Rattus norvegicus: one gene and its partner. The protein of the gene in region 2 purifies or fractionates together with the protein of the main gene of each other region. This does not show direct contact. Links are inferred from orthologs where the notes say so. Each region holds a gene or a part of one and is shown on either strand. Other genes may lie near its edges.

Region 1 (3,649 bases), on a different chromosome or scaffold from region 2:
GCTTTCATTCTCATGAGGGGACAGTTCTTTAAACATGCACAGCCCGGAGTGTCCAGGATGGTTCTCCTTCCTCTCTTTAAATGCTGCGGACGAGAAAGGCGCCCACTCTGCTAGGAACTCTACATCAATGTCCCGGGAGCCCCGACCATCTTCAGCCTCCTCTCAGAGACTTAAAGGATGGCGCAGAAGAACTTCTTCTCCCGAAAGGGATTTTCTGAGGCCGGGACTGGGGTCAGCAGGGGATCTTCCTTGGCATGTGCCTCACAGTAGGCCATCAAGTCTGCAGCTGCCTTGGACACCTGCATGGGAAGGCAAAGACATCTGAGAGGATGGACAGGCACGGACCCAAACACCACCGCTCAGCCACTCAGGACCCCAGCTTTGGGGTCCTCCACCTTGGAGTTCATCCAGCTAAGCACTTGAAAGCCAACGGATGTAAGTGAAGGGCTACACCCCGCCTGCATAAGCTCTGCTTCCTGGTTGTCAGTGAAACCGACCTGACTGACAGCGCTGTGGCCGGCAGGTGGGGATTTAGGAGCGAAGCAATCAGGGCCTCAAACAGAAGAGCCACTTGACTCGAGAATCGGAGAACCGAGCAAGCACCAACCTTCCCCTTAAACCTTTGTGCCATGATACCTTAGTTGCTGCCGCTGAGTCCCAGCACTGGTGGCAGAATTATACCAGTGAGATAACCTAGGGAAGACATCGAATCCCACACAAAGGGTGCTCTTGACCTAGGAGAGTCATTGCTATCTCTCTATAGCCACACCCCTGCTTCTGGAATTCTCCTTAGAATGCCTACAGCTAGACCGGTGTCCCTTTCTAACCAGAAGGCATACTAACATGCATGCACGCACGCATGCGCGCGCGCACACACACACACACATGCACAACACACACACACACACACACACTGATATCATATAGTATAGAAAATATTCATTACAGTAGCACCATGTGACTCCAACCAAGAAGGCTCCCATTGGAGGAGCTTCGCGTTTTGGGGAGGTGTCGTGCGCACTGCCAGCTCCCTGTGAGGAATTACCAATGGTGCTATCCTCCGCAGTTGTTGCACGTTTTTGTTACTTGAGGAGCTAGATTTAACTTTGAGAGATAAGCTGACATCTGTCGATGGGGTAGGTGATCCTACCAGAAGAATGTCATTTGGAATCAGCAACATGGAGTCAGTCATTGGATTCTTACATGACACCGTATGCCTGTGCTGAGGCTCACCAACTGTAGGGTGTGAAAGTCTCTCACGGTGACCACTGCAAGTATAAGCTTCTCTAAGACAACATGGAGTCAGTCATTGGATTCTTACATGACACCGTATGCCTGTGCTGAGGCTCACCAACTGTAGGGTGTGAAAGTCTCTCACGGTGACCACTGCAAGTATAAGCTTCTCTAAGACTCGGGCAGATTATACTATAACTACATTCCATGCTTCACTCCAGGTAGGCTCCATATATCTGCACAGTGATAATCAGACTAGCTTATATCACAAGTGATTTGTTCTGGCCAATGAGATGTGAGCAGAATCGATGCTAATTACTCTGGGGCAGAAGAATCAGTGCATGACCTGCCAGGCACGCTTCTCTCTCCCTCTCTGTCCATTTGAACTAACAATCAGGACCTCCCTGCCCAGTTCACGAGTCTCCAGGAAGGGATCAGTGGCCACACCCTTGCTCTGATCCTTGCCTGAGGACCAAGTGGATTAGACGTCCATCGCTTAGAGCTTACAACAGTTTTAAGATTAACAGGTTGGACACAGAAATCAGTTTTACAGTCTCAATCAGCAAACGCTCAGCTTTTCTTTCTCTGCTCTCTTAGCCGCCGGCCAGACAGAAGGACTATTCTAGTCAGACAGAAGCACTATTCTAGACAGACACTGTGCCATAGGCCAGGGTGACAGTGACTCGGTGTGGAGTGGCTGCTGCTCTGATAAGGGAAAATCTCACAGCAGCTCGATAATCATAAGCCTACTTTGTTCTCGACATCAAGTTAAAATTTCTCTTGCTCTGTAGTAGAAGTAAAATTTTTCTGCTCTGCAGAGTAGACCTGTGTAGGAAGTGCCAAAATATAGGGGAATGATTACTGCTGGGAAGGCCAGCTTACCTTGATCTGGATGTAAACACTGAAATAAGCATTTGTTCCCTGTCACTGCCTTGATGCAGCACTACCAACCAGATGGCTTAACGCAGCACCAGTATGTCCTCTCGGCACAGCAGCGCCAGAAATGTTATGTTTGAAATGAAGGTGTCAGTACGGTTGATGCCCAACCCTCTGAGCGAGAATCTGCCCCGTGACACTCAGCGCCCGGTGGCTGTGGTGACCTTTTGGGATTCCATGCCTTGCGCACAGAGCACTCCAATGCCAACCCCTACCTTTTATGTGGCATTCGTCTCTTTGTTGCTCAAATCCGTCAGTCATTGCGTGAGGGTCTGCCCTCACCCTGCTCTAACGTGAATGTTAGACGTGTCCCACCGAGCATCTTTCCTTCCCATCTCTGTGAGAGTGCATCGGTATAAATCACCATCCACCTTGTGTAGATGAAGGCTTGAGGCTCGGCAGATTCCCGGAGCTTGCTCGCAGGCGGGCAGAGACGCACGCCGCAGAAGAACTCGGATGCTGATGTTTTGCCGTTACAGGCGCAGCTGCCTGCATGCAAACGACTGAAATGCCTGGCTAGTTCCAAAGGTGGGAACTAATTCTCCATGCATCTTTCCCAAACTCGACGATGATGAGATGAAAGGAAAAGGACTGTTCTAGCCGTGGCTCCCCCAAATGAGGGCAAAGGTCAGACTTTGAGGGGAAATAGCGAACATTTTTTTCCCTGTGGCTTTTACTTATTCGAGCAATAGGAGTGGATGGGTTTAACAGGACGCAGCAACTGTAAAATCGCACTGCCGTACCCACATTTGTTAGGAAGAGCTCTACTACTCAACCACGGCGCTCGCACACAGGCACACGGCATGACGTTTCTGAAGCACTCTTTACCCGAGATTTTATTTTCCCTTTGTGTGTGTGTGTGTGTGTGTGTGTGTGTGTGTGTGTGTGACTGCGTGCATGTCTGTGCACCCCATGCACGCAGCACTCCAGGAGGTGAGAAGGGGGCACTGGATCCTATGGGACTGGTGTTACACAGACTGCCACATGGGTGCTGGGAACCAAACCCTAGTCTTCCGTAAGAACAGCCAGTGCTCTCACCACCAAGTCATCTCTGTGCATCTCAAAGTCCTCTTTATGGCACAGAAGATACTAGAGCGGGAAAATTAATAACATGGAATCGTTTGTAGTTTGTATCTGAACAAACGATTCTGAGCAATTTCCTTTTCAAAATATATTGTTTCCTCCCGAGACTGCTGTCTCTTGAGGATGATGACCCCACACAACACTGGAATCTTGCTGACAGCTGGAATAGCTGCTGGTATTTATGGCCTTTGCTATGTGTCCAAACTGTGTAAACTGCTTTACGCCAAGTGTCGTCGTTAGTCTGTAGAAGAGTTGTACGAGTCTGTAAGTTACTAATACCCTCACACTTTTTTCAGTTGATTTCTTTGAGACAGGATCTTCCTATGCTGTCCCGGCTATGTAGCTCAGGCTGGTGTGAAACTCTGGATCCTCTAATCTCTTGGGCACTGGGATTCCA
Region 2 (3,749 bases):
TACTTGGTCCAGGTAAAACGAGAGACTTGTTTATAAAAACCAAGGTGAACAGCATTCACCTTAGTTTACCTCAGGTCTCTACACATTCACACGCACACGTGCGTGTGCACACACACATGCATAGCACCCAATCCTTCGCTATGTCCCTCCATGCTCCAATAGCTCCCATTGTAACCCCACTTTCTTCTCTACTCCTGTTTATGCCTCTCCAGACATAGCCTCAGCTTTCCCTAAGTACAGCAAACATAGTCCCCTGCCTCAGCTTTGCCTCACTACATCAATGCTCCCTTGACCCAGCTTGTGCTGCTGCTTTATTTCAAATGCTCTTTTCTGGGACAGTCTGTCCTTTACACAGGTAAGGAGTCTGCATTCAAAGATCCTTTCTGGGAGCCACTCCAGCTCACAGTCTCTGGAAGTCTCTGAGCTCCCCCAGACTCATTTCCCACATCCCCACCCCCTCTCTTCTATCCAGAGCACGTGTCTAACCCAATCTCATCTTACCTATTGAATGACCAACTTCTAGAAGCCTTTGGACCAAAGACTTACAAGGGAACATTCTTGATTTGTTCACTGCAGCATCTTTATGGACCAAGCAGAGGCAGACACACTAGGGGCTGACAAACTGTGTGAGTAAAAGATAGAGGTGTGTGTGTGTGTGTGTGTGTGTGTGTGTGTGTGTGTGTGTGACTGTTTTCAGAGGTAGAGAGATGGAAGGGAAATTAAAGATGAGGAGGGGTATCCTGAGATGAGGAGAGAGGGGAAGCTGACCCTTGCAGGTGTGCAGGGGACGAGGGCTAAATCTATGAACTCAGATCTATAAACAGGCCTCTCACTTCTTTTACCTCCCACTTTCTGTGAGGGAAATAAAAGGTGGGCAGAACAGAGACTCCCACAGATTGCTGACGTCTTACAGTTGCCAGGGTAAATCTGACTAAGGGCAATGCAGGGGTCACTTAGCCACTGACCACAGAGGTCTCTTGGTGCCCTCTCTTCAGTAGCCCCTGGAGTTCAGCGAGAGGAGACAGGAGGATGGCTACATCCATGGCTGGGGAGGGGGCAGGAGGGCCAGAGTCAATGTCCCTCAGCAAGACTTCCAGAAGTTGATCAAAATGTCTGTGCTGATGTCAGGGAAGTGACGGAACACAGGACAGGGCTTCCAGGTACAGGAGAGAGCCAGGGTTCCTAAGGACCTGGAAGACACTGTGGTCAGAGTGGGACTTTAAGGGATGGAGAGACGACAAGACAAGGGTTTCTCTGTGTGGGCTGAAGGGTTGTGCTAGAGTGGGGGGCTCATGTCATAAGGGCCATCGGTGTGGGGCTTCAAAAAGACTGCTCAAGCCACAAGACTAAGCTGTCAAGTGGAGAAGTCCAAGGCACTGATACCAAGATGAGGCAACACCATCATCTATCTGTAGCATACAAGGCTCTGAGAAGGCAGGCCCATGTCACGCAGCTGATACCTACTCCTCACTTCTCATTTAGGGCTGGCAACATGCTCAGCCTGGCTCCCCCTTTTTCAGACTCCCTGGCAGGGGCCACATGGCCTATGAAGTGCAGATAGAAATGTTGGGAGGAGAGGAATTCTGGGAAATGTTTGCTTTTTCCCTAAGAAGGAAAAGAGCCCCGGTGTTCACACTCTCCCTTCTTCCTGCTTTGGATACAGGGGCAACGTTTGGAGCGGTGGCAGTCATCTTGGGATCACTGGGTAAATAAGTGCCAGCGATAAGGCGTGGAAACGCGTGAGTCCCTCAAAGCACCAGGTAGCTGCACCAGACCTGATCTTGTTACCAAAACCCACCATTTAACCACTTACATCTGAGCACATTTCTAACCACACAGGAGTTAGCTGCCCCTTCCTAACTTAAGAGAAGGCCCCGAGAGCAGACAACCAGGGTTTTGTACTTCCAGCAAGTTTCAAAGAAATTAAACACTAAAGGCCTCACTCTGACCCCCAGTTCCCTTCTCTAAATGGAACTGAAAAGATCAAGGCCTATTAGGAAGGTGGGCAGGGGCGTGGGGGGGGGGCGCACCGTACAGAAGTGTGTTAGGGTTGGGGGCTGGCAGGCCTTGAAAGGGAGTACGTAAGTAAGGGAGGGTGAACGGGTAAGACCACTGCCCAAGCAGGGTCCCTACTCCGAGCTCTGTTCTCTCTCTGGCCGAGAGTCTCTGGGATGCGGGCACGCTGGCAAGTTTATTTATACCGCGTTAGCTCTTTTATGTCAGCCGCAGCATCCATCAAACACTCCTAAAAGGGCCTACCCCAAGCCGAGCCGGCGGATGCAGAAAGCACATCGGCTTCCCTCCGCCATCCAGCTCCCTGCCCCCAAGGACAGTGGAGAGATGGGAAAGGGAGCTTCAAAATCCACGCAGAGGAAGGGACCTGACAGGGGCAGAGAAGCCCAACGTGGAACTGTAAAGCGGTCTCTCCTCGCCCGCCCGCACCTGCTGTCACCACCTCCCCACCCGCCCCCTGGGAGGGGCTCGGCATCCTCCCATCAGGGACGTTGGAATCGGTCCCACGCAGGTCCGCCAGCCCCTTGGAGAGTCTGGTCCACTCCGGCCGAGAGCTTCCCTTCCACCCCCTGCTCGCACTCACGCTCCACGTCATGCAGCTTCGCCCGCTCCTCCTCTAGCTTGCCCTTGAGGCTCTCGGCCTCGCTCTTCAGCGACGCCAGCGTCTCGTTCTCGTGCAGCCCATCGGTTGCCATCTTCGTCCGGATGCAGCCGGGAGAGAAACGCAAAGCGGGAGATTGTGAATCGACGCGGGGGCCCGACGGGAGGGCGGGCGCAGCAGCAGCCTCCGTGACCCCGAACGCCACCCCGGGCCCGCCCCCTCGGCAGTGACGCGAGCGCTGCGGTGACAGACTCTGCTGGCTCCGCCCACCGCGCCCTCCCTGAGAACCGGGCGGGGCGATGCTCGGAGGTGGGACAGTGGGGGTGGGGATGGGAGTTGGGGTGAGAGTGGGGGTGGGTGAGGGTAGGAGGCTAGAATAAACTGAGGCTCGCAGACCACGCTATGGCCCACAAACTCTGGTCTCCTGGCTCCAGGGGTGCTTACTGAAGTCCAACCTATACCGCCCAGCCCTTGGCATCCCGGGGACTTGGGGGCAGGAGGCTTCATACAGGTGCCTCACAGCCCACTAGTTGAAACATTCTTTTAAAAATGAGTTCTGACTGCCTGGGTTCTGGGTTAAGACAACAAAAGCATGAGTCAGGGGCAGACCTTGCTGGGGTCAGGGGCGTCCTCTCTTTTGGAATGAAGGTTTGCTTATGTTTTATTTTATTTCTTTAAGATTTATTTATTATATATGAGTACACTGCCACTGTCTTCAGACACACCAGGAAGAGGGCATCAGATCTCATTACAGATGGTTGTGAGCCACCATGTGGTTGCTGGGATTTGAACTCAGGACCTCTGGAAGAGCAGTCAGTGCTCTTAACCGCTGAGCCATCTCTCCAGCCCTGCTTATGTTTTATTGACCTTAACAATTTGATGACTCCAGTGGCTCCTCTGCAGCTACACTTCACTGGGCTAGGTTCCTTGGTGACACTTTCAGTGCTCACCTGAGTCGCTGTGAAAGGAATCCCAGACACCCCACCTCCCACCCCACCTCCAAGCTATTTTTGCAGAGTAGGGACAAAAGGCCGTGAACACTCAGTGTCACACTTCCAGGAAGAGAAGAAGGCAGGGTTAGGACCCGGGCAGTTCAGGTTCACTGATAGGCTCTCACTTAGGCCTTCTCCCTTTT

What was found.
Region 1: the proteins of Gnb5 (region 2) and Gng2 purify together in Homo sapiens (affinity purification with western blotting; 4 studies listed by BioGRID and IntAct, with this or other methods). This does not show direct contact. The link is inferred for Rattus norvegicus from reciprocal best matches to the Homo sapiens genes GNB5 and GNG2.

What each region holds. Positions count from the first base shown.
Region 1 is NC_086033.1:4,459,286-4,462,934, reverse strand, and holds part of Gng2 (guanine nucleotide-binding protein G(I)/G(S)/G(O) subunit gamma-2), read right to left. Parts: intron 300-3,649; coding exon 171-299; 3' UTR 1-170. UniProt on the Homo sapiens protein: Guanine nucleotide-binding proteins (G proteins) are involved as a modulator or transducer in various transmembrane signaling systems.
Region 2 is NC_086026.1:84,955,695-84,959,443, reverse strand, and holds the start of Gnb5 (guanine nucleotide-binding protein subunit beta-5), read right to left. Parts: upstream 2,816-3,749; 5' UTR 2,709-2,815; coding exon 2,597-2,708; intron 1-2,596. UniProt on the Homo sapiens protein: Enhances GTPase-activating protein (GAP) activity of regulator of G protein signaling (RGS) proteins, such as RGS7 and RGS9, hence involved in the termination of the signaling initiated by the G protein coupled receptors (GPCRs) by accelerating the GTP hydrolysis on the G-alpha subunits, thereby promoting their inactivation.